2 linked regions of the Canis lupus familiaris genome follow. The protein of the gene in region 2 interacts with the protein of the main gene of each other region in a pairwise test. Links are inferred from orthologs where the notes say so. Each region holds a gene or a part of one and is shown on either strand. Other genes may lie near its edges.

Region 1 (3,064 bases), on a different chromosome or scaffold from region 2:
ATCTCTTAAGGAAACTATGCCTTGCTTGGGCCATTATTAAATTTTATTCTGTAGCCCAGGTATACATCTGGCTCTGGATAATACATAGCACATAATTTATGCACAATTGAAGAATCATCTGCTAGTGATGAAGTCAGAGAATAGTCAAAACTACATAATTTACCACCACCCAACTGCAAGCTTATGCTTTACAACACTACCTTTCCTGAGCCCGATAACTGGCTGCACAGTTCTCCTTCAAACCAACATTCGGTTAAATGAAAAGTAATGGCTAGGATGACCCACTGGCCAATTCGACCTCATCATGCTGAATTTAGGGCATACTAAGTGAAGCAAAATAATATAAGGCCACCAAAGAAGTGACAAGGGAATCGCATGGCTGTTTGTCCCAAGAAGCCAGGCTACCTTCCTTCAGTTCAACGGTTGTCCACCAAAGCGGGGCACAAGGTGAGCCAGGAACTGAAGCGACAGGACTCTTTATTCAACCTAAAGCACTCCAGGTCTGCTTTCGAGAATCAAAAACCAAAACTCACATTAAAAGCATCTTTAAAATTCTATAATTGAGCCAGAAATTTGGAAATAGAAGTATCTAGACAAACTGGGGGGTAAGAGGATAGCAAGTCCTCTAACTCAAGAGCTCACAAAACGGAAGCAGGGAACTCGGCAAGCCAGACGACTTCTCCCCACGGGCTTGCGGAGGAAAGCGACTTTAATACAAGTTGGTTTTTTTCATGATCCGAAGAAACTCTTCCTCGTTCACCTCGCCATCTCCATCCCGATCGGCTTCATCTATCATTTCCTGTAGCTCCTCGTCAGTGAGATTTTCCCCTAACTCAACGGCCACGCGCTTTAGGTTTTTGAAAGAGATCTTGCCAGTTTCATCGTCATCAAAGAGCCTGAAAGCCTTCAGGATCTCTTCTTTGGTGTCCTTCTCGGCCATCTTCTGGGTCATCACGCCCAAAAAGTCATTGAAGCTGATTTTCCCCGTGCCCTCCTTGTCTACTTCGGAGATCATCTTCTTCATCTCTTCCTTCCTGGGCTCGAAGCCCAGCGCTCTCATGGCCACCTTCAGCTCCTTCACGTCAATGGTCCCACTTCCGTCGGCATCGAAGAGGTCAAATGCTTCGCGAACTTCTTGCTTCTGATCTTCAGTGAGCTCGGGCTTAGGGCCCACCTTTCTCTTCTGACTGGTAGAGGCCACGTTTGACTTCTTGAAGCCGGAAGCCATCCTCCTCGGGCAGTTGTTCCCTTCAACGGCACCACCGCAGTCACTGCGCTTGCGCAGACGGGACCCCACTTAGAGCGCAGGCGCGACCCCACTTAGAGCGCAGGCGCGGGACCTCCTCGCGCGTCCCAGAGCTTCCCCTTGCGCTCTGCAGGGAGGCCTGGCTCGCTGCCGCCCACCCGCCCACCCGCGCTGTCTGCGAGATCTTATCCATGTTGCACCCCACGGTTCCCTCTATTATCACCCAGTTTCCACGAGCTGAGACGTGGGCTGGCAAGAAGTGCCGGTAGCCACAGTTGCCTTCCACGGTGCATTGCCACTTGCTGTTCTGGCTAGCGCATTTGCAAGCATCCAGAGGGCCAGGTTTATAGTGTTATTTGGAAGTCCTTCTCTTCCTTTTCCATACAAATTAAAATTAACAAACGGACAAGCAAAACAAAAAACCCTCTTGGAGTTAAACAACAACAACAACAGGTCCTCTCTTAGTCTGAGGTTACCTAAAGCTAAATTTAGGATAAGATGGAGCTTGATCCCTTGGCATTAAATGTGGGGAAGAAGGAGAGACGATATTAAGTCACAGCATGTGTTCAACTTGTCATAAATGGAAAACATAAAATGGAAAAGGTTACGTATAAAATTTGTAGAAGTTTGTCTCCTGACATTATGCTCAAAATAGTGAAATTTCATTGGCTGATTCAGCATAGGTTGAAATAAATATGAAATGTATTATTCAAATGTATGATTAACTTTCAGTGTTTCAATCTTACATACTCGATCATAATTACGATCAAATAACAGTCTTCATTTCATTCACTAGGCTTTTCTTTTGGAGGGGGGTTCAAGTACTATTTTCTGGTATTTTTTAAAGACTAGCAGTGTATTACTCTCACTTTGTTATCTTGTGCGTGCTGTGCTGAAACCCCCACTCTGATTGCCCTACTTTGGCAGTGGAACTGGAAGCTTACCTTGCAGTACATGTTGGAACTAGAAATTGCTTCCTGAGAACAAAGGGGCAAGAGAAAATTGGGAGCTTTTTAAGTGAAAAGAAAGGAAAAAGTTATCAAGTAAGCCCATAAAGAAATTGCCTTTAGAATTGTTGTATATTTCTTTAAATGGTTTTCTTTTAAAATCTGACATTTTTAGCATTCTTTCCCCCCTATCAACTTATTATTACTTGATCAGTTACAAAGAAGGCCCTTTCAAAGTTTTTACTGAAGAGTTTTTATATCTCCAGCATCTAGAACAGTGCTTGACACATAGTAGGTAGATTAATAACTGTTTCTTGAGTAAGTGAATGAGAATTACTGTTGATTTTAAAATACTTCTGAATTGTCCAAATAAAAGACACCCCCCCCCCAAAGATTAAATTGTTCTGGGAAAAAAAAATTGTTCTGGGAGTGTTTTTACAAGTTCAGTTTTATTTTAAATTAGTGATCACATGTTGTTTACATCATGTGCCTAACAGCTAGATCTTACTACCTGCCCCAGTTGATATGTGACATAATGGACAGAGGGCCTGAGCATAGGATTTCTAAAAGTCAAGGAAACTTATCTGTGTCTCCTCCCATGTCCTGCTTCCCAGCATTTGTCACATGTCAACTCAGAGTAGACTTTGGCAAGTTGACACTGCCATTGCCCATCTTCCAACACTGCAAATCCTCTGCTTTCTTAACTAGGTCAAAAAGTCTGGGATCTTATTCCAACTCCATGCCTTATTATCTCTCTGACTTGAGAAAGTCACTTAACCTCCCAGACTTAGCTGAGACATCTGCAAAGTAGATGTAATAATATAGCTTCCTAATAGGGCTCCTGTGCATGTTCAGTGAACTACTCCAGGAA
Region 2 (4,376 bases):
TACTGAACCGAGAGAGAATGAACAATGTAGGCAAATTCTCTGCTTAAGGAAACTTACCATTTGGGAATATTATTTTAAGAAAAGCAAGACTATACAGAACGAAAGATTCTTATACACCATAGAAAAATTGTTAAAAGTCTTAACCAAAAAAATAAAACAAGTATTTTTAATAACAAGTAAATAAATTTAAAGGGCAAGTAGTAGGGAGCCCGGGAGGCTCAGTCAGTTGGGCATCTGATTTTTGATTTTGGCCCAGGTCATGATCTCATGTCCTGGGACTAAGCCCCATGTGGGCTCTGCGCTCAGTGTGGAGTCTGCTAGAGATTCTCTCCCCCCCCCCTTCTTTCTGCCCCTCCCGCTATCTGTTTGCACACACATGCACTCACTCTCTAAAATAAATAAATCTTAAAAAAAAAAAAAAGACAAGTAGTGACTATTCAAATTCCCTGAACAGGAGTTACATATAAAACAGTGGTGAGGAATTAAGATGAAGTTCTGTCCTCACAAACTTTAGAATCTGCAGAGATAGCCAGACACACATAGAATATGAATGACAAAATGGAAAAAAAAAAAAAAAAAAGCTAGTAGACCCCAAAACAACAGCAGTACAAAGCAGGGAGTAAGGAGTAACTATTTTTCATGGGGTGGGATTATGAGGGTGAAGAAATGGGAATGGAGTCAGAGAATGTTTTAATTAAGATGAACCGGGTATTGAGATCTGAAAGAGAGATAGATGTAAGGACACGCTAGGCATTAGAGCAGCAGAAGCAAAGACACAGAGGGGCATGTGCGCCGGCCAGGAACATAAGGAGTTTGCATGGCTGAAGCAAAGGGTGCAAAGCGAGGCTTGGCTAAGGATGCAACAGGCAAGGTAAGGAGCTGCTAGAGTATGGAAGATCATTGTGTCAAGTCAAAAAATGTGGGCTTCCCTCTAGAGAAGTTATTGAAATGTTTCAAACAAGTCATGACATGCTCAGCCTCTTCTTGTAAAGCCTCCAGGTTTCTAGCTTGGGCAATCAGACGGATAGTAGTGCCACTCACCAAGGTGAGAATCATAGGAAGATAAGCAGGTTGGGAGGGCAGACAATGGGTTCAAAATCAGACCAGCTGGGTGTGAGGCACTGCAGTAAAGCTGTGTATACACCCTTTACAGTGCACAACAAGGACTATGTCCACGATGTGAATGCTGCTTTCTGGAGTTAAGCAATGAGGGAGCTCTTCTGCCCTGGAGGTACAGTAAGAGGAATCAGCAGCATAATGGGAAGTGCTGAAAAAGGGAGGGGGAAAAGATCACCCAAGAAGAGGAGTGTGAGAAAGAGTTCTTATTCTGAGGTCCATTCACCCAACTTATTATGCAGTATTTTTAGTATAAATGCACATGTGTATTCATCTAGTAAGAGGATCCTCAGCTTCAAATGTGTTCAGAGGGGCCTATAGCCCTAATCAAGTTAAAGGCCTACTACTGTAATGAGATTAAAAACTAGAAACACACGCACAGAAAAAAAAAAAAAAAAAAAAAAAACTAGAAACAGGAACATTTAAAGGCAAAGACAGGAAAGGAAGTCAGGGGAAGCTCGGATGGTTCAGCGGTTTAGCGCAGCCTTCGGCTCAGGGCGTGATCCCAGAGTCCCGGGATCGAGTCCCGCGTCGGGCTCCCTGCGTGGAGCCTGCTTCTCCCTCTGCCTGGGTCTCTGCCTTTCTCGCTCTTTCATGAATAAATAAAATATTTGAAAGAAAAGGAAGTCAGAGTGGTAGAATTATCAGAAAGAAAAGCATCATAAAAACTTGGGGAACACCTTGCCCTTCAAGTTTTTATGAAGAAAGATGAAAACTGGGGGCTCCTGAACATGGAAGGAAGTAGCTGACGTCTATCTAAGTAATTTCGGCGGAAGATGAAGCAGGTGTCCATCACAGCAGCCTGAAACATAAATGAGACCAGGACATCGAGGTGGAAAGCGCAGAGCAGGGAGGTCAGGCCCCGGCTCGGGACGCGTCCGCCCCCCGCCCCCGCCCCGCGCGTCCGCCGCATCCAGGGGACCAGGCGCGGGGGGGCGGCAGGGGCAGGGGGCGGGGAGGACGCGCGGGGGGGCTCCACCGGCCCTGGCCGGATCACACTCCCTGAAGAAAGCGTCGGCCACGGGGGCCTCTCCCCTGCGTCTTCACGGGCCGGAACCGCCCCCCCGCCGCCCCGGTACCGCCGGCTCCGCGGCGTAGGAGCCCCGGCGCAAACACACGCGGGCCGCGGCACCCCCAGCCCCGCACGGCCTCCGCCACCCACCGGCGCGGCTCTCCGCGAAGCCGGACGCTCCACTCCGCGTCTCGTCCCGCGGCACCGCCGCCACAGCAGCCGAAGCAGCGGCTCCCGGCAGCAGCCCGACAGTTGCAGCCACAGGAACAAAGGACGGCGCTGTTCATTGGCCCCGAGCTTCAGCAACCTGCCGCTTGATTGGCCGCAGCCTCGGGGGCGGGGCCCTGGCCGCCGGGGACGCACCCGGCGGGGCGGGGTTCTGGAGGGAGAGCCCCGCCCCCGGCGCCGGCGGCAGCAGGGGGCGGGGCCGTGGGCGGATGAGGACCCGCGGACCTGAGCCGCGGGCTCTCTCGGCTCGGCCCTGGGCCCGGCTGGGTGAGAGGGCGCCCAGCTGCGCTGATGACCTCCGATGACCCCCAAAGCCCGTGCTGGCCCTTGTGCATAAGAATCCTCTTGTCCGTAATGCCCTGCCACAGGATCGTTGGAGGTGCTTTTTAAAAGTACGGATTCCTGACACCCACCCCTCTGCTTAATTCCTTCCGTCTTAGCGCCAGGGAATCAGAATTTTTAACGAGGACTACCAGTGATTCTGGTGGAAGAGTCAGCGGACCACACTGTAAGAAACTGCTGGACGGCGTGTTACTAATGACCTCAGGTCAGGCCCTTCTGGCGAAGTGACTATGAACCTTAGAATAATCGGGTCATAATTGTATCCTGGCTCTACCAGCTATTCACTGCCACCTTGGGTAATGCTGCCCACGTTAGGATCCAGGTTGCAAAGGGGGAGCCCCATCTGGGGACCAAGTAATGAGCTCTGGCTGTTCTCAGGCTCCCTTTGTTACGGGAGGATGAGGTGTCTGCGTTTTGTTAGTTTCTGTAGATAGAAATGGCATAACCTGGGCCCCGTCTACCTTCCCGTTGGCAGAGCCAGACTTCTACGTGTACAAACAATGAAGTCAGAGGAGCCAGCAGTTTCTTTGGCATGAGCTATGCTTGTGTTCCTCTCCCCCGCCCTCTCCCGTGGTTATCATAAATAGAACAAATTCCTACTAATGCATATGAATTCATACCTGGTTGAAATATGTTTTTGAATTGAAATGCAACTAATGACTCCATACACTGTAATTTTTACTGCTGGACTTCCCCCTTTCTCTCCTGCCTCTTGGCCCCATGTTGCTCTTCTCTGTCTTCTCTGTCCTGGGGGGTAGATTTTCATAGAAAAACATTGGGTAGATCATCTCCATTCTTCTGTGAGGGTACAGAGAGAAAGAGACCAAACCTAATATGGATATCAGGAATTTAAAACTGATTCTTTTCCCAAGATTCTGAGAGAAGGGGAGAGGGGGAGAGATGGAGAAAGAGAGAATCAAACACCTGCAAATTCATAATTAAATTGCCAGCTTGAACCTTCATAATTATTCATTCAACAAATAATAATCTAACATTCATCAGATGTAAAACATTTTGTTGGTGCTAGGAATAGAGTGGTGAACAAAATAGACACAGTCTGCCCTCTTGGGAAAAAGGACACATCAAAGAGGAACAAAAAACCCCACACATGTGAATAAAAAATTATGAATTATGTTTGAAGAGAAGGGATAGCAGGAAATGCCTGACTGAGAAAGTTTATTTAAGCTGAGACCTGAAGATGAACACGTAAAGAACTTATTTTATTAATAAAGACACATATGTTACTATGTTCTGGGCATTATATTCATTAACTCATTTAATTCTCAGATTATCTCTATGATATAGATGCTGTACCCATCCTTGTTTTAAAGATATGAAAACTGAAGCTCACAGAGTTTATGTGGCTTGCCTAGGATCACACAGCCAATAAGAACAGAATTGGTGTTCAAATGGAGGCAGTCCAGACTCCAAGTCCATGTTCTTATCATTCAGTATGCTCTGTTGGGAACTGCATGTCAGTTATGTATTGGATGGTGTCCTCCAAAAAACGATATTTAAGTCCTAACCCCTTGTACTTGTGAATATGATCTTACTTGAGAATAGGGTCTTTGCAAATATAATCGAGTTAAAATGAGGTCATTTTGGATTGGAGTAGGGCCTATCCAAAACTAGTGTCCTTTTGGAGAGAGAGATATAGGGAAGAAGATGAAGGCATTAC

Evidence for each region.
Region 1: the proteins of POC5 (region 2) and CETN1 interact in binary tests that used the Homo sapiens proteins (3 or more experiments, as listed by UniProt). The link is inferred for Canis lupus familiaris from reciprocal best matches to the Homo sapiens genes POC5 and CETN1.

The regions. Positions count from the first base shown.
Region 1 is NC_049228.1:67,485,375-67,488,438, reverse strand, and holds CETN1 (centrin-1), read right to left. Parts: upstream 1,285-3,064; 5' UTR 1,229-1,284; coding exon 710-1,228; 3' UTR 535-709; downstream 1-534. UniProt on the Homo sapiens protein: Plays a fundamental role in microtubule-organizing center structure and function. Plays a role in sperm cilia formation.
Region 2 is NC_049224.1:30,915,453-30,919,828, reverse strand, and holds the start of POC5 (centrosomal protein POC5), read right to left. Parts: upstream 2,992-4,376; 5' UTR 2,973-2,991; intron 2,904-2,972; exon of another isoform or gene 2,533-2,903; intron 2,435-2,532; exon of another isoform or gene 2,279-2,434; intron 1-2,278. UniProt on the Homo sapiens protein: Essential for the assembly of the distal half of centrioles, required for centriole elongation. Acts as a negative regulator of centriole elongation.